2 linked regions of the Arabidopsis thaliana genome follow. The protein of the gene in region 1 interacts with the protein of each later gene in a pairwise test. Each region holds a gene or a part of one and is shown on either strand. Other genes may lie near its edges.

The links.
Region 2: the proteins of AT5G17190 (region 1) and RLK4 interact in a protein complementation assay, tested with the Arabidopsis thaliana proteins (one large-scale study listed by BioGRID).

What each region holds. Positions count from the first base shown.
Region 1 is NC_003076.8:5,642,128-5,658,523, reverse strand, and holds AT5G17190 (B-cell receptor-associated-like protein), read right to left. Parts: upstream 6,354-16,396; 5' UTR 6,215-6,353; coding exon 5,822-6,214; 3' UTR 5,351-5,821; downstream 1-5,350. Other genes in the region: AT5G17210 (transmembrane protein, putative (DUF1218)), read right to left, coding at 554-875, 970-1,181, 1,910-2,005; AT5G17200 (Pectin lyase-like superfamily protein), read left to right, coding at 3,188-3,355, 3,448-3,582, 3,734-3,892, 3,996-4,285, 4,380-4,488, 4,596-5,000; AT5G17180 (uncharacterized protein), read right to left, coding at 6,717-7,088; ENH1 (rubredoxin family protein), read right to left, coding at 7,549-7,719, 7,832-7,900, 8,008-8,089, 8,471-8,637, 8,730-8,942, 9,076-9,189; AT5G17167 (nucleic acid-binding, OB-fold-like protein), read right to left, coding at 12,457-12,706, 12,731-12,965, 13,122-13,215; AT5G17165 (uncharacterized protein), read left to right, coding at 10,822-10,916, 15,126-15,381; AT5G17160 (aspartic/glutamic acid-rich protein), read left to right, coding at 16,097-16,210.
Region 2 is NC_003075.7:134,504-150,996, forward strand, and holds the start of RLK4 (receptor-like protein kinase 4), read left to right. Parts: upstream 1-14,108; 5' UTR 14,109-14,454; coding exon 14,455-16,493. Other genes in the region: EDA8 (Putative membrane lipoprotein), read left to right, coding at 117-732; AT4G00315 (F-box/RNI-like/FBD-like domains-containing protein), read left to right, coding at 2,901-3,797, 3,876-4,016, 4,098-4,385; AT4G00320 (F-box/RNI-like superfamily protein), read left to right, coding at 5,436-6,413, 6,507-6,647, 6,736-7,140; CRCK2 (calmodulin-binding receptor-like cytoplasmic kinase 2), read right to left, coding at 8,284-8,499, 8,582-8,883, 8,972-9,061, 9,141-9,315, 9,388-9,611, 9,696-9,924; RHB1A (RING-H2 finger B1A), read left to right, coding at 12,363-12,425, 12,692-13,061, 13,151-13,260, 13,430-13,459. UniProt on the Arabidopsis thaliana protein: Serine/threonine-protein kinase.

The sequences.
Region 1 (16,396 bases):
TAAGTTTACAATAACTTTGTTACGAATAAGAAAGATTTTACTATATGCACTTATTAATATCTTGTCTATCAAACTGGTTTATAAATGAGAAGAAATGAGAGTAGATGTGTTGGCATTTTATTAGACTCAAGATTTGAAGAAACTGGTTGTTGTGAGGGTTGGGTAGAACATGTGGTGGTTGTTCCTCTAACGGTGGATATGTATCATTGAAATTTCTCTACAAACTTTTAGTTCCAACTATCAATAACAAAGTTCCCTTGTTTGGGAATAAAATTTCGATTACTATATATCGCTATCGAATTTTTGTTGTAAATGAGACGAACACTTCTCTTCCCAACAACCACTTTTGACTTGCATAATAAATAAGAAAGATTCAGAGAAAAAAACTACAAAACTAAGTGACGTTTTTGGGGTTCTCAAAGATTTCTACTTCAATCAAGAATAACAATCATTACAAAGTTTCAATACTCTTAATCAAACACATATCCGTTAATCATTTTGTCTAAATCTTCTACTAAACCTAACGTGCTTTACAAGCAAGCTTTGTCTGTTTTTAAGTGAACTGTCTTCTCATGTAAGTATCCTCATGAACAAAAACAGGATCTTCTACTCTCTCTGGAATCTGAGGCTGCCCCATTGCTATTCCTGTTCCTTGGGTCGTTGTGGCAGCAACAATTTGCTTATTTGAAGTCAAACATAAATAGTAGACAATCCCAAGGGCAATAGTAACAAGCGAAAGCACAGCACCGGTAGAGAAAACGCCTGGTTTCACTATGTAGCAAAAGTAGGTACCAGCATTCATTGATTCCTCGGTGTGTTCATCGTTGAGTGCAGCTCCAGAAAGCAGCACGAGGAAAGCTATTACAAAAGTGAACCTATAGTAACGCGAAATCACTCACTCACTAGTTGTAAGCAAATTATAAGTAGGAAACTTGAAGCAAGAAAAGGATTAGAAATGATGAGAATTACCAGGAAACAACAAAGCAGATTAAGGAGATAATCCAATTAGACCTTGAAGGAGCAGGACCTTTTCTACAACAGAAACAACCGCTTGAGACACTGACTATTATCTGAGCCATCATCAGAAAGAGAGCTGAAGTGAAGCCGAGATTGAAAGCTGGACTTCTTGGATAAGTGCATTTTGTGATTGAATCCGAAACGGTAACCGTGACCTGAGATCTCTGCATCGATTTTAAGATAAAAATGAAAAACAAAACCTTCAGAAAAAGTTTGAAACATTGCACAAATACACACCAAGAAAGTTTCTTAATAGACAGAGTAGTTCAAGAGAATAAAACTGATTCTACATACCCTGCAAATTCTATATGACTAATTGATTCTAAAAAAGATGATTCAACCGAATCGACCAATACATAAACCCCATTAAGAAAGGCTATAACTTTGGTTCAATAAATCCAAAAACACATATGTGAATTGTGAAAAGCTTGTGAATGAGACTTAGTTGAATTGGAATCTGACATTAAACATATCAATACATATGCAATTACCAAAACACACCAGAAAACAACTCTTTACCACACAGTCTCTCTACAAAAAAAATTACTATTAAACTTCTCAAAGATCTTCCAAATTTGAAATCAACAAGTTCTTCTATACAAAAACCACCGTGAATGGGGACCATTACTGTTTCATTGAAAAATTCCCAAACCAACGAGTTTCCCACCAATTATTATTCAACTCCCATCTCAAAGATTGAAGCTTTCATCTCAAACGCATTTTCAGGCAATGAATTTCAAAATCGACACATAAAAAGAAACGCAGACAAAACCCAAAAATCCTTTAGATAGAGTTTCAACAAACCATTGTGGCTGTAATAACCCAAAGATCATGAGAAAAACCACAAATTTCACTAAAAAACAGAAACCCTAAAAAGTGCTGAAGAAGAAACCTTGATTCGAGTAGCTTCAGCGACGAAGGCAGTAACAGCTGATAATAAACCAAGAAGAAATAAAACACCACACATCACAATCTTTCTCCTCTCCATCTCTGTCTCTCTCCCACCAACTCCGAAGATGCTGGCTTTTTTTTTTTAGTCTTTGTTTACTTTTTTTCTGCTTCTTCTTCGTTGGTAAGAAAATGGAAAGTTGGTGACAAACCCATTAAACACCGCACTCACTTTTAGTCGGCAAAGTACTCTACTCTCTCCTCCTTATTACATAGATCCACGCGTAATGGTACTTTCAAGTTTCAATAAAATGTATTTTCTCTGTTTTGGTTTGGTTTCTGATTTTGGTTTGATTTGTTCAATTCAGATCCGACCGGACCGGTTTGCTACTGAGGTATGCAAAGAAATTATTTAGAGAAAATTAATCTATTTAAAGTTTCCTCCATTTAACTAAATAAGAATAGCTTATTGGTTACATAGATTTTATTTTATTTAAGAGTTTCATCATTTATAAGACGAACACATTTTATCTGTTTCTTACTATAATTCAAAAATGAATAGAATGACAATATTCTTGACCAAAAATATAAAGAATGAAAATGAGAATTTTGTTCTATCATTTGTATTTTATTCGTCCATGAATTATTTATCTTTATTCATTTCAAATTTACTATTTATCTAATTAAAGAAATTAGATGGACTTATATTTGATAAAATTCTTATGAGGTTTCGTCATATTTACATTTTGGTTTAATCAATCTAAAGATTCTTGTGAATCAAAAAAGATTAGTGCCGCCTTGGATATATTCATCATATAAATGATTCAATCATAGGTCTCTCTTTCTCTCTTATGACATAAGTTAATGATGAATCTATTTTCTATCTTTAGATAAGCCATAATTAATTCATTCCTAGAATCAAGCATGTAAGCAATAGAAAGAATCAAGCATATAAGTAAACTTTCACTCTTATCGCTAAACAAAACGGTATAAAAATATATCGTTTGCGATTTGTTAAATACGTCAATAAGTTTGAATATTCCATAGTTATAAAGATTTCAATATCTCAATTATAGTCCATTATTAGTTTCCATGTTATAGCACACAAAATTAGTGATTAGCGATAATCTCTTACCATAGAAACACAAAATCAAACGCAATATCTTTCAATTAACCACCTTTCTTTATACAAACCTATATATACATTTAGAGATATATATAGATAGAAAACGTATTATCATCGAAATTCGTTCTCATCGTCAAGCATATGAGTCGTCCAAAAATGAAATCTTCGTTGTTCTTTGTCTTGTTATGTTTGTTTCAAATAAACAAATTATGTTTCTGCTTAGAAGAAGAATCTCTAAAGGTTAAAAACGGATTTGGAAGCAATGGATTCATAAGTGTCACTAGTTTCGGAGCTATTGGCGATGGAAAGACTGATGATACTAAGGTGTTTATTTATAGAATCATCACTATTTGTATCAAAGTGGTATGTATAACCTTTGTTTTAATGTATGTGTTATGTGTATCAATATATTTCAGGCTTTTCTTAAAGCATGGGAAGCTGTATGCAAAGGAGGACACAATAGAAAGATTCTTGTGCCTCAAGGGAAAACCTTCATGCTTAAGCCTCTTACATTCATCGGTCCATGCAAGTCTTCGACCATCTCCTTATCGGTATATATATACTTGTCTCTTTCTCTTGTTTCAAATTATATTGGAAAATCCAGCCCTAATGTGAATGATTTCAATAGTGATCGATTTTAGCTTATGAGTAGACAATAACTCGAACCAATGTTTAAATAATTTGGTGATTTATTTACATTAGATAAGAGGTAATCTTGTGGCACCGGGTTACACTTGGTATGCGGGAAGATACACAACATGGATTAGTTTTGACAGTATCAATGGTCTTGTTGTCACCGGAGGTGGTACCATCGACGGTCGTGGTTCTTTGTGGTGGGGCAACGTTAATAATCGCCCCTGCGTAAGTCCATTTGCAAGATCCTCACAACCATAAATATGAACTTCGATCAAATATTTATTCTCAGTTATTAATGATGTTTCTTTTTCTTCCTTGCTTTTCTTAGGCAATGCACTTCAACAACTGTAATGGTCTTAGGATATCTAATCTCCGACATTTGAACAGCCCTCGGAACCATGTAGGTCTAAGTTGTTCACAGAACATCGAGGTCAGGGGTTTAAGGATGACAGCACCCGGTGATAGTCCAAACACGGATGGTATTGACATATCGAACTGTATAGGAGTCCACATACATGACTCAGTGATTGCCACTGGAGATGACTGCATCGCCATTAATAGCGGTTCCTCTCATATCAACATAACCGGCATTTTTTGTGGCCCCGGTCACGGTATCAGGTGATTCCTAAAATCACAGATTCACAAACAATCATCATATAATATACAGCAAGGTACATGCTAAATCATTTATAGTATGGATTTGATATTATAGCGTAGGAAGTCTTGGAGTAACTGGAGATTTCGAAACTGTTGAAGAAGTGAGGGTAAAGAACTGCACTTTTACAAAAACACAGAACGGTGTCCGAATCAAGACATACCAGGTTGTCCATTAATCTTCTTTTTTTATTATACATCATTAGTTCTTGGTCTTATTCAGCATTTTCACAAACTAAATCTGTTTTTTTTTGTTGGCGTGAATGTTTTGTAGAACGGATCGGGATATGCTCGGAAAATCTCATTCGAGGATATCAACATGGTTGCCTCAGAGAACCCTATTATCATAGACCAGACTTACCACAATGGAGGTACGAACGGAGGAATAAGCAAGTCATCTAGTAGCTATCAGAACTGTCATTTAACAGCAAAACAACGGACTCCGTCTGGTAATGGGAAAGGCGTGAAAGTGACTGACGTGCGTTACGCTAGAATCCGTGGGTCATCTGCAAGCGATCAAGACATTACATTGAACTGCGATGCAGACTTGGGATGCTCAGATATAGTGATGGACAATGTGAATATGGTTTCAGCGACATTTGGTCACAAGTTGTTTTCTTCCTGCAAAAATGCTCATGGGTCTTTATTTGCTTCAAAAGTGGATTGTCTGAAACATTAAGTATGCCTTTCTTGTGAAATCCTTTCCTTCAAGAACCAAGAAAGAAAATGGAGTCTTCTCAATTTTTTTCTTAGAAGAGAACCGTTTTTCCTCGAGTTTTTTTTTTAAAGTAGAAAACGTCTAATTTGTTCTTATTATTGGCTGAATAAATGTTTCAGTTTGTTACTTTTACTATTGCAATAAATCCTGCAGAAAATTGGGTTTTGGGGTCATATCATCTAAGAAAGACTGAAACTCTGAGGTTGCTTTGAATCAAAACAAAGTTGGGATTTTAACCTCTGCAAAAAATGAGATTATGGAGAAGAATAGAAAGGTTCAAACGCTCTTTGACTGTGTAACAGAGAGATTGGGAAAGATGTTCATTAAGAACCATGGAGCAGCTAGTGTAAATTAGCTACATTACTCTATCAAGAACTGAAAACTGAAAAAGAGGTACTAATCAAATCCATAACTGGAGTCCTTAAGTTGATTGAATCATTGACAAAAGAACAATGATTGGTTCATGATTATCAAACCAACATATTAGAACACAATCAAACAAGGCTCCAAGTTTGAAGTTTTATTGCAAGTTTATCAATCAAAATCCAAACGTGCAACAGATCAGATAATCAAACAAGCATTGAACAAGGCATAAGAAGCATATATTTTAAGTATTATAGATCCTTCAATCCCCAGTTCAACAAAGAGCAAACATCGGAAAACAAACGCAGAAAAAACCTAAAACGGCACAAGTAGTAAAGAGACTCTTTCATCGAAATTCAAACAACTCGAAAACACTAAAGGACCTGAGGAAGACGAGGGACGAAGCAGCTGGATCTTACTTAATCCTTGTTCTTGAGCCTCTCAACCCTCTGATTAAGCTGCTCAATCCTCACAACCAAATTCGTGACAGAGTACAAAATCCAGTAGAAAACAAGAGCCGACGCAATCAGAAGCGCGTTACGCTGAGACTTCATGATCGATTTCTGGTGACGAAGATGCTCAGAAGGAGTACACGAATCACCATCGCAAGAAGGTCGAGTCTCATACTTCCAGTAAATATCCATAAGAAGGAAGAGACAAAACGGGATTATCGAGAGAAACGGTTTCAAGAGATTACGAGTTACAGCGACTAATCCTTTGCGGAGAGCGTCAAGTCCAGGCATCGTCAAGAGAATCACCATGATCGCTTCAGCTGCTGCTGCGTAACCTAACACAACCCATTCGAGAGCCATTGGAGAAATCCGATCTAGATCTGAGTCGGTTTTGGTGCTCTGATTTGATTTTGATTTTTTCTTAGTGAACAAGTTTTAGATCTTTTTCTTTGCCTTTGTTGATTATTTGGTACAAAAGGTAGAAGAAGATGTACGGAGGGTTAAGCACGTGGCGCTTGTGTGGTGTACGCGTCTCGCACGTCGAGGTTTCTTAATGGGCCTATTTCAACCCAACTTTTTTTTTGTCATCAGCCCAACAAAATTGATTTTCCCAAATTCATATTGTAATGCGTCATCAAGTATATTCTAGAACCTAATCTTGTTCCCTGATTTAACGTTCGTAAATAAAATAAAAATCTTTATGGTTTAGTAAGATAATAACATAAAGATATATTAAAACGACAAAAGCTCCATTAAAGTTGTTAACACAAAGAAAGAAAAAAGTTCTATCAAAGTCATTATTAAAAACTTGATTAACACCAAAACTAAAAGAACTTGCACCTAACAAAACTCAAAATCTTTATCATCGTTCACTATACTTTCGAGAGACCTTCTTTGGAATTTGAAGTTGATTCTCTGTTTTCTTTTCATCATTGTCAGAATTATATAGACAAGACTCTTTTTGCACCACATTAATCACATCTTTAGGCTTATGTTTAAGAGAGACAGAAGCTTGAAGAGGATTACCGGAAAACTTGGAATCTCTAAAGACTCTATCTTCACCACGAGTTCCAAGCTCTACAAATATTGTGTCGATTTCAGACTTGGTCATTGGAGTAGAACGTTTGCGTACGCCAGTCATGTCAAATTCCCTCCATGGAATCTCTCCGTTTACATATTGATCAAATCTCTGAAAAGTTTCTTTGAAGTCTTTCACGTCTTTTGCGTTAGCCATCGTTTGTTTGTTGTTGATGATTATACTCTTTGAATTCACTTGTGTGACTTCAAAGATTGTGGAAGGTTTATAAATATATATAATTTTTTTTGGTAAATGGTTTATAAATATAATTAGAATTGGTAGAAAGTTTATCTATCAACAAAATAAATTAAAATTGTTTAACATTAAACCAAAAAAAAAAAAAATTAAAATTAGTTCTCTTAAAAAAAAAATACAATTTGGTAAAAAATTAATGTAATTGTGTTTGATATATGGTTTGCAAGTACCTTACTCTGTTTTTAACTCTTGCTGCTGCACTAGTTTGATTACAGAGAAAACAAGAGTTACATAAGAAGGAGAGAATCGAAAAATGCTTTACATAATTTAACTCTCAAGTTGATGTCATCAACATTCATTCTTGGTTTGCAATTACAAAGCGGACTTGTTTTATAGAGATTATAAAAGTTTTAAGAAAAATTTATTGAAGACCATAGACAAGCAAAGCTCCAACAGCTCCAAGACCGGCCAATAAGCCAACAATGACACCAATTGGAGGCAATCCTCCTCCTATGGCCTTTCCTGTGTTCACGTCATACTTTGCAAACCTCTTCTTTGGTGCTATACATTGAGGACATACGTATGTATCCGGCTGTAAAAGAACCCCGAGAAAACAATACAAAACTTAGTTATAAAAATCAGAAACATATATGCAGCCAAAATCAAACTTGTATATAAACTAAAATTAAAGGATTGAGACTCACCTGTTCGTCAAAAGATTTGGGTAAAGTGTATATGAATCCACAATCAAGACAAATGTGAGTAGCTCTTGCCTGCAAACGAGAATGTAATGGTGTCAAGACAAATCAATCAGTCAAGTTTCTAAAAAGGGGTTTTAAATGCAATAATTCAATCTTTGAAACAACAGATTGCTACTAGCCTTCTGAGTCTCAGTTAACTTCCTTCCAAACCGTGGAGGAGCCGGACGCTTATTTAGTTTCTTAACATCAACTTCTGCACCTCTGTGTTTGATCAAAGATCATAAATTGCATCAGAAACTAATAAAGAACCTCAAAAAGCTTAATGAATAACCTGAGGTGCTAACTTATGCAGCTTGTTAAGCTAAGCATTGCGAAAATCTAATGACATAGCATAAGAAGAGAACTAAACCTACACATTGCACCTCAAGAAGACTTATCAACTATAGCATCAGACCATGGAATACTTAATCAAGACTACAGCTTTTCACAGGTTTCTTGTGCACAGGATTCAAAGGAAACATATTTGCGACAAATTTGATCATTTCAATCTAATCCTTATTTCAAAAAGCAGAACCCACATTTCTAGCAAGATAATACCAAAATAAAAACAAGAGAGGCAATCACAACCACACTCAAACTCACCTGCTAACAACAAAGTAGACAGAATCAGGTTTTGCCTGAATTGCAGTTTTAGTAAAGCCAAGCTTATCTGCAGGCCAAAGCTCATCTCCAAAGAAACTGCTTGTGTACACAACTTGATCTCCAGATTTAAGCCCTGCTTTTGCTGCGTTCCCTCCTCCGTCCACACCCTGAAAACCAAAAACAAACCCCTCAATTTTATCAAACAACAAATTTACAAAGATACCATTCCATTGCAGAGACTTAGTTCAAAATAACTCACGGTGATGACAACTCCACCGCCTTGCTTCTGTCCTAGAGTCAGACCCAAAGGCTTATCTACTTCAACCTCTATTGTCTTAGAAGCTGCTGCTCTCGCTTTGATTTCGAATCTTCTCAACCCATTTAACCCTCCGATCTTTCTCTCGGAGACAGCGAAGATCTCTGATACACTCTTCTTCGAATCTTCCAACGAAACTCCTTGAAACACAGTTTTCTAAACACACAAACCAAAACAAGAGAAAAAAATATACATACTTTTAGATGAAGCTAAGTCCAAATCACATTCAAGAGGAAGAAAACGAGAATTTCAGATTCGTTTGTAAAGACATCGAAGAGAAGATATAGACCTGTGATAAAAGAGAAGCAGAGGAATGGAGTTTGGGAGATGGGTTTGAAGTAGTAGTAGTTTTGGTGAAGAAGGAAGAGACAGTAGCTCCTGAAATCGCACCAGACGTTGCCATCTTTCTTTCTAGTGTGATCGAACGAAGAAGCTTTGATTGATTCTTAATTTCGATGTTGTTGCATGCGTTTTGTGAGAGAAGCTAGGTTTTTTTGTTTTTGTTTGAGGAGGCCCGTGTCAAAGCTCCAAAGAGATAACCTTTTCGTGGTAATCGTAACATTTTCGTGTGTTATGCACGGTCCACTCTGTCCACACTCTTCTCTTTTTTTTCTTTCTTCACTATCCACACTCTTCTCATCTTCCTCAAATAACAATCACAAATCATTTCTATATCCTAATTTATTATTTTTCAAATTTCTTGATTAAATTATGTTTTGTTCCATGAATCTTCTCATGAACATTAATATGTTACGTAAAAAAAAAAATGTTAGTGGAAGAGAAGTAGTGTGATGTGTGCGTTAGATAATCGGAGATAAATGAGTTATTAGTGGGAAATTAATGACACAAATTTACATCCTTTAGTTTTAGAAGATGGGCTTCCTTCTGAAGAGCCCGTTACAGGTCCATGTCCATACTGTACAAAATACATAGCCTTCAGACGCAAAACGGTGGCGTTTCATTGGTGGGGAATAATCTAAATATACATTTTTGCAGTCATTTTAACAAATAAATCTTGGATTTGGACTTATTTATAATTCAATGCCATTAGCATTAAATCTTTTCTCCAAAATAATTAATTTTACTTTAAATTCTTGATTTAAATTGTCAACCACATTATCAATCAAATTTAATCCAAACAAACTTCAAATCAATCCCTTAAAATTAGCATAAACATATTTGTTAACAATATTTTAAAACAAAGTATTTTGTTAAAACAAATATTATTCTTACTAAACGTTTTTTGTTTAAATAAATAAATCATGTATTTGAACCTATTTACAATGTCATGACACTGATATTATTTATTTAGGAATAAAAATATTTAATTAAATATTTAAATCTTTTAAATCCTTGCTTTTAGAGTTATTATGTCATTACCTAAAAGGCTCAAAATATAATCTTTTTAAATATTATTATTTATATATTTAAACTTTATAAAACATTATTAATATTTAAACTTATAAAAAGTTTAATATATCATAATTTTTTAACATCATTATATAATATATAGAGTTTAAAAAATCTCAATTCTTTCCGTCATATTTTGTGACTCGAAATTTAAAAAATGAGCATATATTAACCAATTGACGAAAATGTGTGAGTTGTACGTCCCACATCAACTAAAATATTTAGACAATAATTCATAAACATATCATAAATAAGATTAATATTAATAAAATAATAGTTTTTTTACGGGACGGGTTTGGCGGGACGGGTTTGACAGGACGTTACTTAATAACAATTGTAAACTATAAAATAAAATATTTTATAAATAAATATAATTTACAAAATTTTATATATACTAACTTTAAAATATAAATTATTCCCGTTGTGTATCGTTGTGTAACGGAGCACCACAACACACGAATCGTATTGGTGTGTATCCTCCCATCTCTTCTCTTCCACACTAATATTATTATTATAAAAACTCACACTCAACTCTCAACTACTGAATTCACCATTAATAATACTCATCCTAAACAACTCTCTCTCACTCTTCTCTCCCTCAATATTGTGTACAGAAATAGAGTTAATGGCAGCCAAATCGAAGAACATTCAGGTGGTCGGGAGGCACATAGTCAACGGCGTTCGTTCACGCGCCGTCGCATATGGTCTCTTCACGTCTCGGTAGCTCTTTCCTTTTTCTCTCTGTCTCTCTATTTTTCTGCTTTTGATAGTTTACGTTATCGATGATAATAAAGGGGAAGGAGAAATATAAATTTGGACATATGTAAATTTCGTGATATAGTTTGGCTAGGTCATAGTGTTCTAGACGAGATGTTGATCTTTTACCTATGTTATTGGTCCCACATCTAAACTCAAACTTGCTTCGACTGAAATAAGTGTTCAAAAACTTTCACAATTGTGTCCCCTTTTTTTTTTTACTGCCTAGACAATGGTGTGGTTTTGGAGACTTTAACTGAAATGATCATATCCAACATTTGCATATGATCCAACATTTACAAAGAAATACATATAAATTTTTTTTTTTTTTTTAAACAAAGGTTTTCTTATAAAATCCAAAAGGAACTATGCATATTATATGGCATATCCAATTGGGCGTAAGAGAGGATAATACCAAAAAGGTTCAAACCCAATCGTCCATCAAGGAATGACACGTGTCTTTATACAGATTATTCCCTTAATCTTGGAGAGGGTCAAGTGAGAAAAATACATCTTGGAGAGGTCCTCATTTTCTTTCTTTCTTTCTCTAACATGAAAAAAATGAAGTGTAATTATCTCTGCGATTCCATCATATTTTTTTAGTGTTGTGTCGATCGTGCGAAAGACCGGATCTTATGAATTAATTTACAAATTAAATATGCATGGACCATGCAACTTCCTAAAAACATATTTCATGGCACTAATTAAAGTCACTAGGGAGGAGACCCGCGCGTTGCGCGAGGTGGTTTGTTTTTGGTTTTGTTAGTATGTAATTATAACTTCGATTTTTTTTACTGATCTTTGATTAAAAGGGGAATATCTTTGTTATTTGCTAATCTTATCTTTTAATTTTTACATTTTTGTAATCTATGTATAGTTTTACATTTTTTTTTCATGTTGTTACCAGTTATATGCTAGAATTTATAGGACAATAGACCAAACTTACTATCTTGTAAGAATATTTTTTAGAGTTATATATATCTAAGCAATGCATTTGTTACATTGGTCTTGTTTTTATATATTTTATTTTAAATTAAAAATACAATGGAAATCTCTCTCTGTTTCGCATTAAGCGGTTGCTGCAGAGGATAGCGAAAAACAGAGACTAACGACGAAGTTATTTTACACATCGTTGCCATTGTTAATTTTGGCCCAATATGAACCCGCCCATTTGTTTTTTCTCTTTGTGTCTCTGTTAAAATCTTAGAAACTACTCTTTGGTTTTGGGAAGATTTTACTTTTCAACGTCTCTTCGCGAATTAGCCAAAAAGAGTTGGATTATAACAATATTAACATTGAAAGTACGATATGCTTAGATAATTAATTAAAAGTTTGATTTTATTGTAAAAATAAATTTCCTTACAACAGCAAGGAAAGACACACATTAAAGCAAAAGAAATAAGAGTAATAACTTTGTTTTGAGTTTTTGTGATAGTTCACTGCCTCAAACATTATAGGAAATTTTTTAAAAACAGTTTCCAACTCTCTAGATGTTTTGTTTAAGTTATACCATAAAAATAAACTTAAACATTTGTTTGTAGAAAAAACATTTCTCACATGTGTTGTCCAAATCTCTTGGATGGCACACGTCGGGGGGTTTCATGTTGCGAAGTGATATCATGTAGCATCTTTTTCTCGCCACTCTAATCCCATTTAGTGAAGTTTTGATTTGTTTCCAACACGTTTCAGCCATGGTGGTGTCTTTAGCCCATTCAAATTGGCTCATATAGGTTTTTCCCTCTTCAGTCCTTCCTCTACATAATAATAGCATGACATACATGTAGATTGCTTCTTTTTGGCCTCCGTTAGCTGCTATGCCAATATGGTGGAGACCAACGTCACAATGATCAAGGTTAAAGTACCATATTATACCTTTTATGTAGTGAGCATCCGGGTTGTTGTTGGCAAGACGTTTCTTCATAATAAGAAGGTGTTTGCGGCATGATAACGGTTTCTTCACCAACGGAGCAAGATTAAGGGTTTTGAACACGCGTTCATCGTTTCCTGATGTACCTAGTATAGGAGATGATGATTTTATAGTAGTTTAAAGGAAGATCTATAGGAGGTTTTTGCTTTTCTCCAGTTACAGTTTCGATTTGAGATATTTAAAGTATGAATTTAATTGCAAGTAGTAGAATTTTGTAGGAATTAAGCCATGTATTTAAGTACCTTTTAGTGAATAACTGTTGATGTTTGAGCTTCTGGGGAAGAAAAATACAGAAAGCTCCATGGGGCATGTTGGGGGATGGATTGCACCCCTCATTTTAGCTCGGCCCAAATCAAGAATAAACTAATCAACATCAAGCCCAAAAAGCCCATAAAAGTTGGTCCATTATCCTATCACCAGCTTAGTTTTTCTATAAATAGAGAGGCATCTCAAGGAAAAAAGGAGGAAGAAATCCATATTAAAACGTCTTCAAGCTCCTCAGCTCGTTCTCTAGCTCCTCTGCTCGTCCTCAAGCTTATCAGCTCGTCCTCAAGCTCCTCAGCTCGTCCTTAAGCTCAGCTCGTTCTCAAGCTCCTCTGCTCGTCCTCAAGCTTTTCAGCTTGTCCTAAAGCTCCTCAGCTCGTCCTCGAGCTCCTCAAGCTCCTCAGCTCGTCTTTAAGCTATCCAGCTCGTCTTTAAGTTCTTCAGCTCGTCTTCAAGCTCTACATCACTCAACGACCATCTCCTCGCCTAGCTGTCAGCTCGTCCAATTCTCACCTAGTCGTCAGCTCGTCCCTCAAGTGCACAACTCATCTATCTCCTCGCCTAGCTGCCAGTTCGTCCATTGACTACACAGTCCGCCTATCTCGTCTGCCAGCTCGTCTAGACTTTCACCAGAACTCGATTTGTCCGACTCGTCTCTCTACTACATTTCGTCTAGCTTGGCCCCTGGCTACCAGCTCGTCACTCAAATACTCAGTTCGTCTAACTCGTTGTCTATCAACCAGTTCGCCTCGTAACTAAGTTCGTCCAGCTCTTCGCCTACCTGCCAGCTCGTCACACATCTGCTAGCTCGTCGCCTAGCTGCCAGCTCGTCACCAACCTGCCACCTCATCTCTAAACTGCCTATCTCAATATACGACCTACCTCCAACGATGACCTAGCTCACTTATTATAATATGAACTACGTATGGCTTGATCCCTTTTCTAAGGGTACGTAGACAACCTTTTACAAGGTGCAGCTATAAAACTAATAAACTCTTATGTTTATCGCAAGAACGACCTAACTCCCGACCTTCAACGCGATGAGAATGTTTTTCCCTTATCAAAGAACTTACAAATATACTTTGTTGAAATTCGTTCATCAACAGGGCAGTGACTGAAACACTCTTTTTCTCTTTCGTCGTCCTCTGAATTGCGTCGATCGAATAGGAGAAAATGAAATCAAGGGTTTGCAGTTTTAACTGGGTTTTCTTAGGTCCTTTCGGTTCATAGGTTTTTTACTAAATCTTGGCCCGATACACATCACTAAGTCTATTTGGTTCTTTGGCTCATGGGCTTTTTGACCAAATCGTGGCCCCATAAACATCACTAAATCTATTTCACGTATAGAAAAAAATGTGAAGGCGAGTAAAAACATGTGGGCTCCACATTAAAAAGATGTAGTGACGTGGACACTTTTAGAGGAGAGAAAACTCTGCTATTATATATATGATTTAATCTTCTTGGTTGAAGAGGCCATGGTGGCATGGTCCATGTATATTTTTGTTTCAAAAGTAATCATCTTGACCTTGTAAACAAGATGTACCTTCTTCACTTCACATTCTGAATCTAGACGAATACAGATGTCTATTTAATTAGTAAAACTAAAATCTAGAGTTTTGTGTTCATGTAGAAATTATTTATAAAATCAAATATAAATAAATGGACCGACAACATGTAAGAATATGTTAGTGGATAGAGATCTCAATAGCCATAGATTTCTGATACCATTCTCTTTTTAAAGATATGGGATGTTTTGACTATCGGAATTGAAGATAAACCTGCTAGGGTTGGTAAGTGATAAAAGATGTAGTTGTTCTTGTGGGGTTATCTTATCTTCTAACCATTTTTCTTGTTTTATTCATACGGTTAGTACAGTCGATCAATATCTCACCTAACGAGTTCCAAATTTTAATCTCAAACACTTAGATTCACTCATTCACCAATATTATTGCTAGAAACAAATTTGTTCTCTTCTTGAACAGGAATGATCACACGTCTGCGTATGATAAGAACGTCGAGGAAGAATTGCAACCGAGTCAAGTGCCTGATGAAATGATAAAGCCTGACTCTGACAAATATTGGTCTCCTCATCCCCAAACCGGTGTCTTTGGACCTTCCTCCTCCTCGACCAACGCAAAGGACGAATTTCGCGGCGGTCAGGAGGACTCAGTGATGGAGGAGAAAGCCTGGTTCCGTCCAACAAGTCTCGAAGATTTGGACAAGACTCACCATTCGTAGCAAACAAACTCTTCCTTTTATTTGTGTTTTCCAAATAAAATTTGAAGTAAAACTGTTATGCAATGTTTCGAAACGAACTAACTTTTGGTGTTATGATGTGTGAATGTATCACTTGTTGCAGTTTGAAAAATTACTTCTGGTTCATATATTAACTAAACTAATAAAGAGAAAGGTAGGATAAATAATAAATTGAACTTTCGATCATAATACTAAACAAGTTATATTGCAATGTGATTACTCCCTACACAACGTATGGCCCATAACACCTTATCTGGGCTGTATTGTTTATATGGCCCATAACTATACTTTTATGTTTACTCAAATATGGCCCATAACTTTATAAAAACACTATTAAAATCCTATGATTTGAATTAAAAATTCCTAAAATGCTCTTGAAATACTGTAATTTTCTTATTCCGGTGTCCTTTTTCGGAATATTTCTTCCTTTTTTTGGCAGATACATGACAAGGTGGAGAGTGTAAGAGAAACTAATTAAAATATTAATTTCCCAAAAAATTCAAAATTTAAAAGCTCCGCTCCAACAACGGTCACACTTGCAATCTTAGGGATTCAATGGCTTCCCTTGGAAACGAGATATAAATACCCTATTTGCTCTCATCTTTACACTCATAGCAAAAAACATCTTGTTTTCTCTGCCAATCTCAATTTCTCTCCCAACCAGAAAATTCTCTCACTCTCTCTCGATTTCGCGGAAATGGATTTCCACAGCCTTTTGAGAAGGGATCTTCAATTTCTCTGCAAGAGGAACAAAATCCCAGCTAATATGACCAATATCGCCATGGCTGATGCTCTCAAATCTCTTGAGATTGTAAGTTTTCTTCATCTGTTCGCTCGATTTCATTCTGAATCTGAACAATTTTGGAAATCGCTCACACTCGCATCCTGGATCTGTAGTTGTTTATGGATACATTTATATGAATCGGATAGTAATCGTGCTTGCTCGTTTAGTGACGAAGATCTGTGGAATTGAGCAAGATTGAGAATCGTTTTTGCT
Region 2 (16,493 bases), on another chromosome or scaffold:
TTTTCTAGGGTTTTACTCGTATTTTTGATAATCGGGTAATTTAATTTCGCCCGAATCCAAATGCCGGGCGACCCGGTTATAATTTTTCAATTATCTTATTTTCGATTATCGTCTAGGTTTAATAGCTCCGTGAGTAGTAATCAAAGTCTAGTCTCCGTAGAGAAGCTTAATCTCAATGCGGCGGAGGAGGATAAGTACGCTATATCGCCGGAAGTTGAAGACCCAATGGATCAGAGCGATGACTATGACAAGAAATCCGAAGCTCTTGAGCCTAATTCGCCGGTCAAAACTTCCGGTGATGATGAAAAAGTGGTTGTAACAATTCCGACGGCGCCTAAACGTGGACGGCCACGTGGTTCGGGAAAGAAAGTTTCCGCTCCGGCATTGAAGAATCCGTACGAGTTTTACTATTACTCTGGTTTCGGGCCACGGTGGGGGAGAAAAAGAGGCGGCTCCGACGACGAGAAGATGGTTATAAACGATAGTAAAAAGAGTAGAAGTAGCGCTAGTAGCAGTAGTGACGAAGACGGTCATAAAACGGCGGCGTTTGGAGGTGGGAGTGTGAGTTTCGACGAGTTTGATTTTGTGGATGAGGATTATGACGTAATGGAACAAGATCAAGGAAGTGATCATGGGAGGAAGAAAAAGAATGAGAAGATGATAATGATGAAGAAGACGATGAAGAAAGGAAGGAAGCCCGTAAAGGAAAGGTCTTTGAAATCCCTCATGTGAAATATTTTATGGCTTTTAAGGGTATTTCCGTCTTTTTCTACTTGTTGTTATTGTCTGGTTTTGTTGGTACGGGGGTTTGGTCTGTTTGTTTAGTTTGGGAACATTTGTAGGAAGATTTTCTACATCTCTGTTGTATTTGTTAGATGACTGTTTTAGTTGTTCTTTAAATTGTTTTTTTCATAGACTCTGATGTTGTCTACACAGATTTAAAGAGTCTTGAACAATTTTCAAATCACCATCGGTTAAACCTAATTGTATACATGTTTCGAATCCTATCCTAAATTGTTAAGTTAAAAGTAAATATGAGGGTCTTTTAAGAGTTTAACAAAAGATATAGCTTTACATAGAACAATTTAAAATATAGAAGGTTTTAGGAGCGTCTCAATTTTCAAATTTAAATTTATATCGATTAATTGAACATGTACATTATATGATTACAATCTATCAAATGTATAAAAATATTACAAAAGATAATACCTTTTAATTTTATTTCAGAGATACAAATAAAATGATATAAGAGTACACTGTTTTGCGGAGTATCATAATCTGAATTAATTTTAATAATTCAAAATATCTTTTAATATATATATTTATCATTATATAAAAAATCTCAAAAAATATTTTCTGATTTAATATTACTAATACATGATAACAAGTAACAACATGCATCATATTAGAAAAATAATATACTCGCAAAAACTTTAAACCTAAATTTTTTTGTCCTAAAGAAACACTTTTATCCCTCAATTTTGTTTATATGATGATGTTGGAGCTTGTGGATCTCCTAATCTCTCAGAGATTTGCTCTGATTTTGTGCGAAGTTTGTTTTTTATATGATGATGATGTTGGTTGTCGGATTAATTCCTCCACAAAAACACTTAACATTCCCAATTTCTCTTTTCTTCATCTTTATTTTCTCCGATTAATTTTTCTGTAATTTTGGGGATTTTGTGAGGTTCATTTTGTGTTTGAATTGATTTGATCTATTTTAATTTTGAATATGTATGGCAAATCTATTTTTTTTTTTAATTTCAATCTGAAACCAGAGAAGAAATTATCTTAAGTAGAGTACGAGTTATAGGTTTCCATAAGATTGTGATTTATTCGTTTTCACCAACCACTAAAAGAAAGAGACAAAAAACACGTTGCATTAGTTTTGTTGGCGTCTTTAGCATTTTCAATGTAGTCTATATTATACATTGGTTCAGCTTGAAAATTTGCAACCTTGATAATTAATATTGGGATTCCCTATAATTACTGGTTCGCATATCTCACTCGACAACTCGTATTTAACATAATTATAGCAACAAATCACCACAAAATATACTGAATTTAGAAGATTTTCCATAAAATTCAATAACATCTATACATTTTTTTTGCCGATCAATGCAGGTTTACAAACTTCAGTTAATTATGTTAGTTAACATTTTTAAGTTTTAACAATTTTCTATATTAAGATCTTTATGAAAAGGAAAAAGAAAAAATGAAAATAAAAATATGTATAACTCAATCATTATAATATAGAGAATAGAGAAATTAATGTCATTGTTAGTCTCATTATGTTAGCTTCCAAATAAATTAAGAAAAAAATCCTTAATTCTAAAATAAAATAAATAATTAGAATTAAAAAAAAAATCAAATATAAGAAGAAGTTTTCTAAAAAATTAACAAAAAGTTAGTAATAAACAACCGAGAGCGAGTTTTCATTCATTAACTCGCTCTTGGTTGCTTATTCAAGATTTATTTGAATGGATGGTACGAATGTAACATGTGCAGTAAATATTAGATTTAATGTCTTAGTGAGCATTTTGCAATAAAAATCTGTGGATTTCATGTTTATTACAAACAGTTTCTTATAAAACATTTCCTTCATTATTCATTAAGAAAATTAATTAAGAGCACAAACATTTCCTTGTTCGTTTGCCCTAGACAAGGCAATAAATCATATCCTAGAGAAGCGTAATCGATCATTCGATTTTCTTTACCTAAGCGTACAATTGAATGTTTTCTTATATTATTTCTTCCGTTCCTTTGTCTTATTATTCCTTAAGTCTATGTTCTTACTTACGTTCACTCTTTTTTTCTTGGTTACTCGGACAGATTCCAAGTTTCTTATTCTACAAGATAAATGAATCTTGGTTAAAATCAAACGTGGAGGTTGTGAAGAAATGGACAAGACAAGTCAGTTGCCTGATGAATTGCTGGTGAAGGTATTATCATTTCTTCCAACAAAAGATGCTGTAAGAACGAGTCTTTTATCGATGCGATGGAAGTCTCTTTGGATGTGGCTGCCGAAACTGGAGTACGATTTTAGGCATTATTCAGTTTCGGAAGGCCAAGGGTTAGCTAGATTTATTACTTTGAGTCTACTAGGACATAAAGCTCCGGCCATTGAAAGCTTGAGTCTCAAGCTTAGGTATGGAGCAATTGGATCAATTAAACCTGAAGATATCTATCTCTGGGTTTCACTTGCAGTTCATGATAGCAACGTCCGTGAGTTAAGTCTCAAGCTTTGTACTTTTGCGGAGCGTCCAACTAAATTGCCCAAAAGCTTATATAAATGCAAATCGATTGTGATCTTGAAACTGAAAGACGAGATTCTCGTTGATGTTCCTCGTAAGGTATGTCTCCCCTCCTTGAAAACATTGTTCCTTGGACGTGTGACTTACTCGGATGAAGATTCTCTTCACCGACTTCTCTCCAACTGCCCTGTTCTTGAGGATCTAGTTGTGGAACGAGATAGAATTGACAATTTGGGGAAATTGAGTGTGGTTGTCAAGTCCTTGCAGAGACTAACCCTAAAGATGTCTTGTCCTTGTCATCTTGATGGGATTATGATGAATACTCCTTCTTTGAAGTATTTGAAAGTCACTGATGAAAGGCAAGAGAGTGATAGTGATAATGAGAGTGATAGTGATAGTCCTCGATACTTCTACGATTTTGAAGATATGCCTAAGTTGGAGGAGGCAGATTTTGTATTGACATTCCAAAATATCAAAAAGTTCTTTAAATTTGTCACATCTATTAAGCGTCTTTCGTTATGCTTGGGAGTCTACACCGAAGAGGTAATCTGTTTCCATCAATCTATCAAACTTATTTTTGAACAATATTCTTGAAGTTGAATCTTTTGTCATCTTATGCAGTCTTTATATCATGAGGGTCTTGTCTTCAACCAGCTTGAACAATTGAAGATATGTTCATGTGATTCAGATTGGTCAATTTTACTTTCTCGGTTACTCGAAAGTTCTCCCAATTTACGAGAGCTCGAGGCTTACGTGATAGAAGTAAGTTTCTTCGTTAGAGACATATTCCATTGGTTCAATTTACTATATTGTTTAAGCCAAACTTCTCATGTTTGATCACAGGATCATCCAGATAGGCGTGTGGATCTACCAAATCAGTGGGGCAATCAGCTGAATTGTGTTCCTAAATGTTTGTTGTCGAGTCTCGAAACGTTCAAGTGGAGTGAGATGTATGGATTGCTGCAGAACCAGATGGATGTGGCTAAATATATCTTGAGAAATGCTCGATGCTTAAAGTCTGCGACAATCTTTTTTCCGACAACCTATGCTAAAGAAACAAGAGATGAGATGATCGAGGAGTTGTCACTTTCTTTTCAAGGTCCAGAGACATGCCAAGTCTTCTTCCATTGAGGATGTGAATCATAAGGATTCAAACTTGCATTTCCATAGACACTACCCTCCATATTACAATGGTTTTTTATTTGCAGCAACTTGATCTAAACTTAAGGTGTTTTTTTTGTCTTTGTTTTTTTTGTATACTTTATCTTTGAGCATACTATTTTTCTTGAGACATTGGCTTTATCTTTTTCTGAGATCTTAACAAATAACCGAACTTTGAAGAGACAAGACATGACATGAACTTTTATTTGCAGCAACTTGATCATAACACAAGACTCAAACACAAGACTCAAACACAAGACTCTTCAGCTTATAGATCATAAAGTAGATCAATAGCACAAAAAGATATCAATTAGAAGATCAGTCAACAATATAGATGTTGTAGAAATTTGCATCCTAATAAAGTTCATTACAAAGAAATGACCCAAGTTTCCCACACATATCCGCATCAAAAAAACAAGTGCCATAACATTGCATTAAGATTCATATTCATATTACCAAACAGAGCACTTGCACACATACATCAACACAAAACCGGCAAGAACATCATAGGAACACTCATTTGAAAAAACCCAAGGAATAGATTCGACTATGTAAACACAAACAAGTATCTAGGAAAATCAAAAACATAAGTAATAGAAGAATATGTTACCTTCAAAGAAGAACGAGATTTTCTCAGCGCTCTCAAACCCGGGTTCTCAAACCCGAACCGGACCGGAACCGGACCATTACCCATTTAACCCGACGGTTTACCCATAAGCCGAGCCCTAATTTTTTCAAAGAAAAGGGCCCTAAACTTTTCGTCTTCTCGCTTCCCTTCCTCTATCTCGTCTTCTCGCTTCCCTTACTCTATCCCATAGAAAAACCCTGAATTTGGTTTGGCCAATGATGTCAAAACTCTTCATTGATACTTAAGAAAGTTTTCTCCATTGTTCTTCTTATGGTCTCATTCACATTTGGTAAGTCTCTTCAACGATTTTGGTTTTGTGAGCACTTACTTCTTCTTACAAGAATTACATGTCTTTGTTCAGGTTGTAACTGTTGATCTGTTTCTGTCACAAAATGGGTTCGAAAAAGAAGTGTTTTGATGGTTCTAGAGATGGAATCAGCGGTTTACCAGACGCAATGATTTGTCACATATTATCATTTCTTCCAACTAAAGTAGCTGCTTCAACTACCGTTCTTGCCAAAAGATGGAAGCCTTTGCTTGCTTTTATGCCAAACCTTGACTTTGATGAATCCTTCCGTTTCGATCCTCGAATGACTTGTGAAGAGAGGAGAAAGGGTTCTGAAAGTTTTATGCTTGTCGTGGATAGTGTATTGGCTTTGCAAGCGGAAGCGAATGCTACGTTGAACAAATTCTACGTTAAGTGTGAAGGTGTTGAGCAAAACTCGGTGCTTGAATGGATACCTAAAGTGTTGAAACGTGGTGTGTTAGATATTGATCTACAGATCCCTTCGTCTCGCGGTTTTGGTTCCAACTCGACTTTTTATCCTCTACCTTCAGAGATCTTTGTGAGCAAGACATTGGTTAGACTAAAGATACAGTTTCAGGATGGTGCCAACGTTAATGTGGAAGGTGATGTTTCTCTTCCGATGCTTAAGACTCTCCATCTTGATTATGTTAAGATGGATACCAGAATGTTACAGAAGCTTCTTTCTGGCTGTCACACGCTCGAAGAATTATTGCTGATGAATTTGATATGGAAAGAATCTTCAGAACCTGAACCTTGCTTTGTGAGTGTTTCTGTCCGAACCCTCAAGATACTAAAATTTTCTCGTTTTGAAAATTTTATGAAGGCTAAAGATTTTAAACCGATCGTGTTATTGTCATTTGATATTCCAAATCTAGTCTACTTAGAGTACTTGGATACAATTGCGGACAAGTATGAACAAGTGAGGTTTGACTCGCTTGTTAAAGCTAGTATTGGTCTTTGTAAGACCTCTAAACAGATTGAAAATGACAATAATAATGTAACAAAGCTTTTCATGGGAATATGCAATGTCACGATTCTCTACTTGACTGAAGATACTCTTAAGGTCAATCACATCTTTCTCCTAATCTATTAAATTTCTACTCAGATATTGATAAGTGAGTAATCATATATGTAGTTGATTTGGTTTCTCTTTCAGGTACTTGGTTGCTGCCGTGAAACAATGCCGGTATTCGAGAACTTAATTCACTTAACTATTAGGACTGGAGTACATATAGGATGGAAATCATTACCACATCTACTCAAGAATTGTCCAAATCTACAAACTCTTGTCTTCGAGGTACTGTATACATCCTTTAAATCAACCGGTGACATGCTTTTGAAACACATATAATTAGACTTTGATATTGATTCATTTTATGTTTCAGGGAATGCATCATATATATAGGAAAGGAAGAGCTTGCGGGGACGTGGACGAGGATGGGACGTGCATGTGCAAAAATCTGGATAATATGAGGGTGAAGAAGGATATTGATGCTTGTCTATCGTCAAGTCCGGTGAAGGTCATAAAGATATTGAACTTTGGTGAACTTTGTGGGTTTTGTGAGTTTTGTGATGTTGAAGAAGATGTAGCGGGTCAGATAAAGCAGGTCAAGCAATTCCTAGAGACAATGCCGGATCTTGAAAAAGTGATATTGTACTACAATACACCAGAGGATGAAGATGTGATGAAGGTGTTCAAGAAACTTAAGAAGCTTCCTAGAGTAGCTTCAGCCAAGTGTGAGGTCCAAATAATCTCTGATAACATCAACTTGTCATTTACTTTCCGTTAGATGATCTTTTCTGGTTTCTCAGCCATGGACATGTTTCAGGCAATCAAGCTGCTACAAGTTTGCTAAAAACTCTAAACTCTGTTTCTTCCTTTTGTTATTTCCTTTTTCTTCTCTTTATTGGCTTTTATCTTACAAACCAGTGAACGTTTTGTGTTCTTTTGTTGGTTTTAGTAATGAATTTGTGTTTTTTTATGTTTTTAATTTGACGTGTTAGAAACTTGCTTGTCAGGTTAAACCAAATCAAACACCATAATTTATTTAGTTAGGTCTGCAAATATTAGGTCGTTGCCTCTAATATCTAACTGCTTCAGTTTCATCAAACCTCTAAGCACCAAAGATGCAACAACTAATATTGAACAAGACTCAAAAAGCGTTAGAAAACACTACATAACGTACCTTCAGTTGAATGAATCTCATTGTGACTGAGATCTAACATTTGGACAAATATAGCAACTTCTCGACCGCGGCTATCCGAGATAGTGTTAAGTTACTGAGCCTTAGACATACAATATTATTCATATTCCTGTACCGAAAGAGGTGTCTGCACATGGATTCAATGCTCCTGTGCATCAACATTCTCTTTATGACTTGAGAGATCTAAGAGCAGAAACTCAACTTGAGAGATTCACTAAAAAGTATGTACCTCGTGGAGAAGAGCTACGTTGTGCTCATCCTTGTAGTACTGGTCATGCCAAGAATCAAGAGCCATTAGATCGTTATACAGTTGGAGAATCATGACTTGCTTTCCTTGCGACTAAAGCAATGTTCTCTACTGTCAAGTTTCAGACGAGCAACCCAAACACAAAAGTCCACTTGAGAGTTTTTCTTATCCGAAACTGGTTCCCAGACAAGTTCTTTGAGTTCAGAATCAATAGTAACAGTAGATGAGCTAACTCCACTGACGGCTTGGTCAAAGTAAACTTAGTAGAAGAGGCATTGAAACAGCCAGGTCCAGATAGAATGATAATAACTCAATTTATTAACACCAAATACACGTTAATATAATACTACAAATTTCAAAATCAATTACAAATCAACAATTCTCGTACAAGAATGCATCGTGTATGACAAATTAATATTCAAACAAATAATATATAATTGTGTATTCAAAACCATATTATATAAGCGTAGAGAATAATATCATCAAAGACTTGTGTTGAGCAACTCTCTGTAATCTTTACGAATTCCCCACAAAATCTCACTGCATTTTTTCATGCTTGGTCTCGAACGTCTATGAGGAGCTAGACATTGAAACGCCATCTCCAATACCTTCTCTAATGCTAAGTTGTTCGCTGAATTCTGTTCTAGCTTCGGGTCCAATACCGATATCGTATCTCCACTCGTGAACTTCTTGATCGCCTGATCAAATCACAACCATTACACATGAATCAAAAACTTGTTGAACTTACTTTATAGTAGCTAAGAGAATGTTTAGTGTTACCCATCTAATGGTGATGCGTTCTTTTTGTCCTCTGCTAAGCTCGATGGGACGCCGACCTGTGAGAAGCTCGACGAGCAGTACACCAAAAGAGTAGACGTCACTTTTCTCTGTGAGTTGATACGTTGTTAAGTACTCTGGGTCTAAGTAACCAGCGGTTCCTTTGACTTGTGTTGACACATGCGTGGCTCCTGAATCAGTATCTGGAGCTAATCTTGCAAACCCGAAATCAGCAACCTTGGCTCTGTAATTCTCAGTGAGGAGAATGTTTGAAGATTTGATATCTCTGTGGATGATAGGTGGCTCTATAACATATCCAAAACAAATGTGTCAAGGAACAAGTACTATTGCCATGAAAGAAAAAGAAGGAACCTATGTATACAATGGACTTACGTGTATACATGTGAAGATAGGTTATGGCATGAGCTACATCGGTTGCGATATCTAACCGAGTCGCCATGTCGAGAGTCTTTCCTTCCTTACCTACAAACAGATTCACATTGATCGATTAGCTTGAAATGAATATATACAAAAAGAAGATAGTAGTAGGATGTGTACTCACAATCCAAGTGATCTCTAAGAGTTCCATTGGCTACATACTCCACAACGAGAATCTTCTCGTCGTTATGAACAACAAATCCATAGTATTTAACCAAACTCAAATGAGTAACTTGAGCTAATGTCTGAATCTCACTCATAAACTCTGCATCTGCACCTTGACGGTCGTCATGCATACTCTGCATCAAGTTAGTTACAATGTTATAGCGACAATCTCCATTAAGACAGGACTTAGAAAGGAATATTCAAACCTTTTTGGCACGTTTCACAGCAAAGGTTTTGCCATCTCTGAGTTTGACCTTGTAAACAGTGCCAAAACCGCCTTGTCCGATCCTAAAGGACGGAGAGAAGTTCTTGGTCGCGTCGTAGATTTCATCGAAGGTGAATCTTGTATGCTCTGTTTCGTTTGCATTTCCATAACTCCTCTGTACACTACTACTTCCTGTTGAGCTACGTCTACTACGGATATTATTGTCTGCTCACACAGAGACCAAATAAAATCATCATCAACTGTTTCCACTAAAAGTCTAAAATCTAAGAATTACTGATCAAACTATACCGGAAGAGGACTTTGAATTGTCGATGTAGTTGGAGGAAACGGAATCGGGAGGAGTGAAGCAGTTGATGAAGATACCGGAGATGCGACGAGCGATGGAGGTGGTTGTGTCGGTGGATGTACGGGCAGGGGTTGTCGGGAAGGAACGATCGGTGAAAGTAGTGTTACTGTAATTGGAAGATGTGGTTGCAGGAGATCCGACGGTGTAGCTATGTCTCCGACGACTGGGCATCGGAAAGTTCGTGGAGAACGTGTAGCAATGGTGAACACGGAAGGAAGGAAGAGTCGGAGAGACTGACTTTACAATTTTTTCAACTTTTTCTTCTCCGTTGAAAAAGACGACTGTTTTGGGTATTTATTGACGCCAGCTGTACAACTTGACGTTCTCTGATTAACAAAATTTAAACTCGACAAGCTAAGATAATTAATGTGTATAATTTCCTTTTTTTTTATTACATTTTGTCTAATGATTTGTAATAAGCTTTTTTATTCCTTAGATTTAAATTCGATAATTATTAATTTTGAAAAAAAACGATTGGTTTCAAATTTTATTGAATAACTAAATACTTTGTATATAATAGTAGTTCTCGGCGTTCAGTTATCCATTCCGTTATCGATTTTTTCGGTTTTAAAGTTTAGTATCCATTCGGTTATTTGAAAGTTCTGTTCGGTTTCGATTTTAAAATTTAGTATCCATTCGGTTATTTCATTTAAAATATTTCGGTTATTTTGAATATTTTTAAATATTTTTAGATATTTCCAAATATTTTTACTATTTTATTTATATTTTCAAGTATTTTTAGTTATTTAGTCTAGAAATAATTAACACTTTTAAAAATATATTTATACTTTAGATATTTTACCCAAAATATTTTGGTTTGTATTTATTCGGTTTTATTTCAGATATTTCGGTTATAGAATTTAATATTTATTCGACTAGTTTCCAATTTTTGGTTCGGTTCGATTTAATTTTTTTTTTCTTCAATTTTGGTTCGGTAAATTCGATTCAATTTATTTACAGTAGTACTTTAATTCGGTTTAAACGCTCCAAAACAGCACGTACATGGAAAATTGCATATGTAAGATTATTAAATAATTTTAGTATTTAGAACATCTACTAAATTCTGTCATTATTGAATTTATAGAGGATAATTAGTTCAATGCCAGACGTAATCTATCCGAATGATTTGAAAATTTTCAACTAATATCTTGTTAGCGATTATTCCGCCGCCACCATATTAAATGCCAGATGGGTCTATCTCTATTAATGCAATAATCGAACTCGCATTTAATTTGTATTTTTTTTTACAACAAAGATACCAAGAAAAAGGTATAATATTTTTCTTATAAAGTTACTATTAGATACATTTTATATGAAAAAGGCTTAGATTAGAGGAAATAATAAAATGGTAGATTAAATTACTTTGATTAGAAGTCAATCAATATTAGGTTACGGTTAACAAGGAAGATTCATAGGCAGGTGAAGGATGATGAGAATTGAGACCTTACCAGCAAAATATTCAATAGCCTCTGATAGCGACAGAGGGTTTGACCTTCTGTAGAATGGACCATGGTCTAAAATGTTTATAGCCCATGTTTCAGAAAACAAAAGCCCAATGATTAGCCCGTATCCTTAACCGACGTCGTACTATTTAAAAGGTATTTAATGAGATTTGAGAATAATTAGGCAAACTAAATAAAGTAAAGTAGGATTACAGTATAATTACTTACTATGATGAGGTTATTCGACTAGAGAAAAGGAGCTCTGTGTGTCGAAACCCTCCGTCGCCAGCATTTATTCTTCTCACTTTTCTTCACCGGAGAATCACGACAACATCAAATTCTCCGGCGACATCTCAGGTTATCTTCGTTTACTGCTCTCATCGGTTAATTATTCCATCTCTTTTTTTGTTTCCCGGAGTCGGCTTTCGTGTACTTTTTGTTTTTGGTCTTTTCGGCTTCTTCAATTTTAGGGTTCGCGTACTGTTTAGTGTTGTTTAGTTTCTGATTTAGATGTGCTTACTGTGTTCATGTTGTCGTCTATTCTTATGAGAAGATCTTATGGTAGAGTTACATATCAATGATGTTACCAATTTTGAAGGTTATTGTGTTGTGTTTGATTAAAATTGGCTCAAGTGTGAAATGCTTTTGCTCGCGTCACTGTTTTCATTGCAACTTGACTGAATCCTAGAGGTTGTTTTAGAATATAGATTCAAGTTTCAGCTATTGATGGGACATTACAACAGAGCATAAGGAACATTCCCATACCTTTGTGTTTCTTATGGATAACTTTGGCATCAGATCAACTTTTTCTTTTGTCATTTTGCTTATTAACACTGTAATAATCACTTGTTATTGGGATTTCTCAAGTCTGCTTTGATTAATCTTGTTTCGTAATGTTCTTCTCACTATTCACTCTTCCCATACCTTTGTGTTTCTTATGGATGACTTTGCCATCAGACCAACTTTTCTTTTGTCATTTTGCTTACTAACACTGTAATAATCACTTTTTTTTTATTGGGGTTTCTTAAGAGTACTTTTGATTAATCTTGTTGCATTCAAGTAATCGTTGTTCAGTTCACTCTTTTCCTGCAGTGGCAGTGCATCTGTAAAATGCTTCAAGGACTGTTGTTCGCTACTCTTGCTTAATTATTACTATAGCTGGTGAAAATGGGAGGTTGCTGTAGTTCTTCGAGGAAGTCACATCTTGTTGGAACACCTGTTTACTATTATGTCAGTAATCCTTTTCACCATCTTGCATTTGTGTTGCTTTGCACTACTGACTATCTATAGATTATGATTTTAGTTAAAACAAATCGGGACAAGAGCATGATTTTAGAATCTCAACAATTTCTTGTAACAATCTCGCTTGAGTGGTCGATAGTAGACTACTAGAGGTCGTGAGTGAGCTGTGTTTGAAAAATGTCTTCTGAATTATCTACAGTTATTTGATTGTGACACTCTACAAAGTTTCTATTTATTAAAAGTTTGTTACGCAGTGTCCAGAATCTTTTGAAGAGCTTGTCCCTTCAGGAACCCGTGCTGGTGTGGGATCAGCATTCACCACAGGCCTCTTGGTTGATATAGGTTTGGAGACATCTATACCTGACACCTTTTGTGCTCCTGCTCCTCTTCCATATGATTTGCTTTTGGGGCGACCACAATGCACAGATTCTGAGTCCATCAAAGGAAGGATGAGTGGAAGCAGTTTTGAAACGCTAGCGACGTGTGAAGATCTTGGGGAATCAGACTGTAAAACTCTAGCCAGCTCAGTCATTCTTTCACCGAGGAAATCAGATTTCTCGAAACATCAAGGATTGAAGATATTGGTTGATGAAGAGGAGGACTGTTGTCCTATTTGCTTTGAAGGTAAGAAATCAAGACCGTTGAATAAAAAGAACTCTTTAACTCTTGTTTTTATGAGAGAGCTAAACAGAGTCGTGGATTGCACTATGCAGATTATGATGTTGAGAATCCAAGACTAACGACAAAGTGTGAGCACGAATTTCACCTCTCTTGTCTTCTGGAGTGGATTGAAAGAAGCGATAGATGCCCAATATGTGATAAGGTGTGTTTCCCGCTTGAGCTTTCTTTGGCAGATCGATTGTCTTGATGATCAAAGAATTGCACTTTACTGTTGGGAATTCGTAGTTAGATCAACCATTGATGGTTGCGTAATTAGGGTAAATAAGTGCACAATTTGGCAACTAACTAACATTCTGTCTTCTTTAACACAGGAAGTTGTGTTTGATGATCGCTTGAACTAGCATCATTACTATCCCCTGGCTTGAAAGTTTGAAGGTGTGGCGCTTTGTTTGGTTAGTCTACTACATAATTAGCATACATCTATTTTGTTTCTTCCTCACACACTTTAAGTGTTGGGTCTCCACATTTCCACTTAGTTTTGTCGTATTGGTTATGTTCGTTTTGCCCTTGTGCGATCATATAGATATACATAACAATTGTAAATATTACCTAGCTTCTTGTTCGTTCGTTTGTGATCTCCGGGGTGTGATAGAGAAGAAAGGACCACCATTTCAGTATTTTGATTGTTTGCATCTTCAAAATCATGTCCACTCTTGTCTTGATCCATGATTCTATCTTAGCAATATTGGTTAATGCCCTGATCTGGGAATCATAATAAGCATGATTTTGTTTGTTTGTTTGGTTAAAGAAAGAGAGAGATTCTATTAGATATGGATATAGTATAATTCCATAGTCTAAAGAGAAACTGAATATTCCAAATAGTAAATTGATCCACATGCGACTAGTCTTGTCGTGTGTAAGATATTAAAAAGAAAATGATTCTTTGATTAACACCTTTTGTCTGCTGCATAAAGTAATTAATTAGAAATAATTAAGAAAAAGGTTAGGAATCATTTAAGAAGAAGAGAAAAAAGATGTCATGGCTTTGACTTCTAGCCACTTATGTCTGCCACTGCCACCTCCCTCTTCTCAATTCCTATTCTGCCCTTCTCTTTCTTTTAGTTCCTATCCTGCCGGTGTTGATGAATGAGGGTTAATATAGTAACTTTGGCGTTAGGAACTATAGTTCCAAAACCTTTTTCTGAATGAATTTACTTTTTGGAGGTATGAAGTCACAGCTTTTACAGATTTTATCTTGCAAAAATTCTCTCCACATTTCAAACGTCTAATAGTTAAAGAGAGCTTTTGTTTTTTCTTTCCCATGTCTATCAGTATCACCACCGAGAAAATATCATCAACACCACCAACCAAACATTAACCCACCCGAGAGTACCCAATGCCATGTACTACTTATCTTCCTCTTCTTCTTCTCCTCTTCCTTCTTCCACCACCATCTGTACAAAGCAAAGTTATCATCAAAGGAAACCAAACCATTCTGAGTTTCAAAGCTATTTTCCGGCTTGGTTTCTTCAGCACCACCAATGGTTCCTCCAATTGGTACTTGGGTATCTCTTACGCTTCTATGCCAACTCCCACCCACGTTTGGGTCGCCAATCGAATCCGACCCGTTTCGGATCCTGACTCTTCCACTCTCGAGCTCACCTCCACCGGATACCTAATCGTCAGTAACCTCCGTGACGGCGTCGTTTGGCAGACGGATAACAAACAACCCGGAACCGATTTCCGGTTCTCTGAAACCGGGAATCTGATTTTGATCAACGACGACGGTTCTCCGGTTTGGCAGAGCTTTGACAATCCGACTGACACGTGGCTTCCGGGGATGAATGTCACCGGTCTAACAGCTATGACTTCGTGGCGGAGTCTCTTCGATCCTTCGCCGGGGTTTTACTCTCTGAGACTGAGTCCAAGCTTCAACGAGTTCCAGCTTGTTTACAAAGGAACCACACCGTATTGGTCCACCGGAAATTGGACCGGAGAAGCCTTCGTCGGCGTTCCGGAAATGACCATTCCTTACATCTACAGGTTCCATTTCGTTAACCCTTACACTCCCACGGCGTCGTTTTGGTACATCGTCCCACCGTTGGACTCCGTTTCCGAGCCACGGCTGACGCGGTTCATGGTCGGCGCCAACGGCCAGCTGAAGCAGTACACTTGGGATCCACAGACGCAGAGCTGGAACATGTTCTGGTTGCAGCCGGAGGATCCTTGCCGCGTTTACAATCTCTGTGGTCAATTAGGGTTTTGTAGCAGCGAATTGCTCAAGCCCTGTGCTTGCATCCGCGGTTTCCGGCCTAGGAACGACGCCGCGTGGAGATCTGATGATTACAGCGACGGATGCCGCCGTGAAAACGGTGATTCCGGCGAAAAGAGTGATACTTTTGAAGCCGTTGGTGATCTACGCTACGATGGTGATGTGAAGATGTCACGGTTGCAGGTAAGCAAGAGCTCTTGCGCCAAAACTTGCTTAGGAAACTCTTCTTGTGTTGGTTTTTATCATAAGGAGAAGTCTAATCTCTGCAAAATTTTACTCGAGTCGCCGAATAATCTGAAGAATTCGAGCTCGTGGACTGGAGTTAGTGAAGATGTATTGTATATCAGAGAACCAAAGAAAGGGAATTCAAAGGGAAACATCTCTAAGTCTATAATTATATTGTGCAGCGTTGTTGGGTCAATCTCAGTTCTTGGGTTTACATTGTTAGTGCCATTGATTCTGTTGAAGAGGAGTCGAAAGAGGAAGAAGACTAGGAAACAAGACGAAGATGGGTTTGCTGTGTTGAATCTTAAGGTATTTTCTTTCAAGGAGCTTCAATCAGCTACCAATGGGTTCTCGGATAAGGTCGGACACGGCGGTTTTGGGGCGGTGTTTAAGGGAACATTACCGGGTTCTTCTACATTCGTGGCTGTGAAACGCTTAGAAAGACCTGGAAGCGGGGAGAGTGAGTTCCGGGCAGAGGTATGCACCATTGGGAACATTCAACATGTCAATCTCGTTAGGCTTAGAGGTTTCTGTTCAGAGAATCTTCATAGGCTTCTTGTCTATGATTACATGCCACAAGGATCCTTGAGTTCCTATCTGTCTAGAACAAGCCCCAAATTGCTAAGCTGGGAGACCCGTTTCAGGATCGCGTTAGGTACTGCCAAAGGGATCGCGTACTTGCATGAAGGATGCAGGGACTGTATTATACACTGTGATATCAAACCGGAGAACATTCTTTTGGACAGTGATTACAACGCCAAAGTGTCTGATTTTGGCTTGGCTAAGCTCCTTGGACGTGACTTCAGCAGAGTTCTAGCCACGATGAGAGGGACATGGGGCTACGTGGCTCCCGAATGGATATCTGGTTTGCCCATCACGACAAAAGCTGATGTGTATAGCTTTGGAATGACATTGCTCGAGCTGATCGGTGGTAGAAG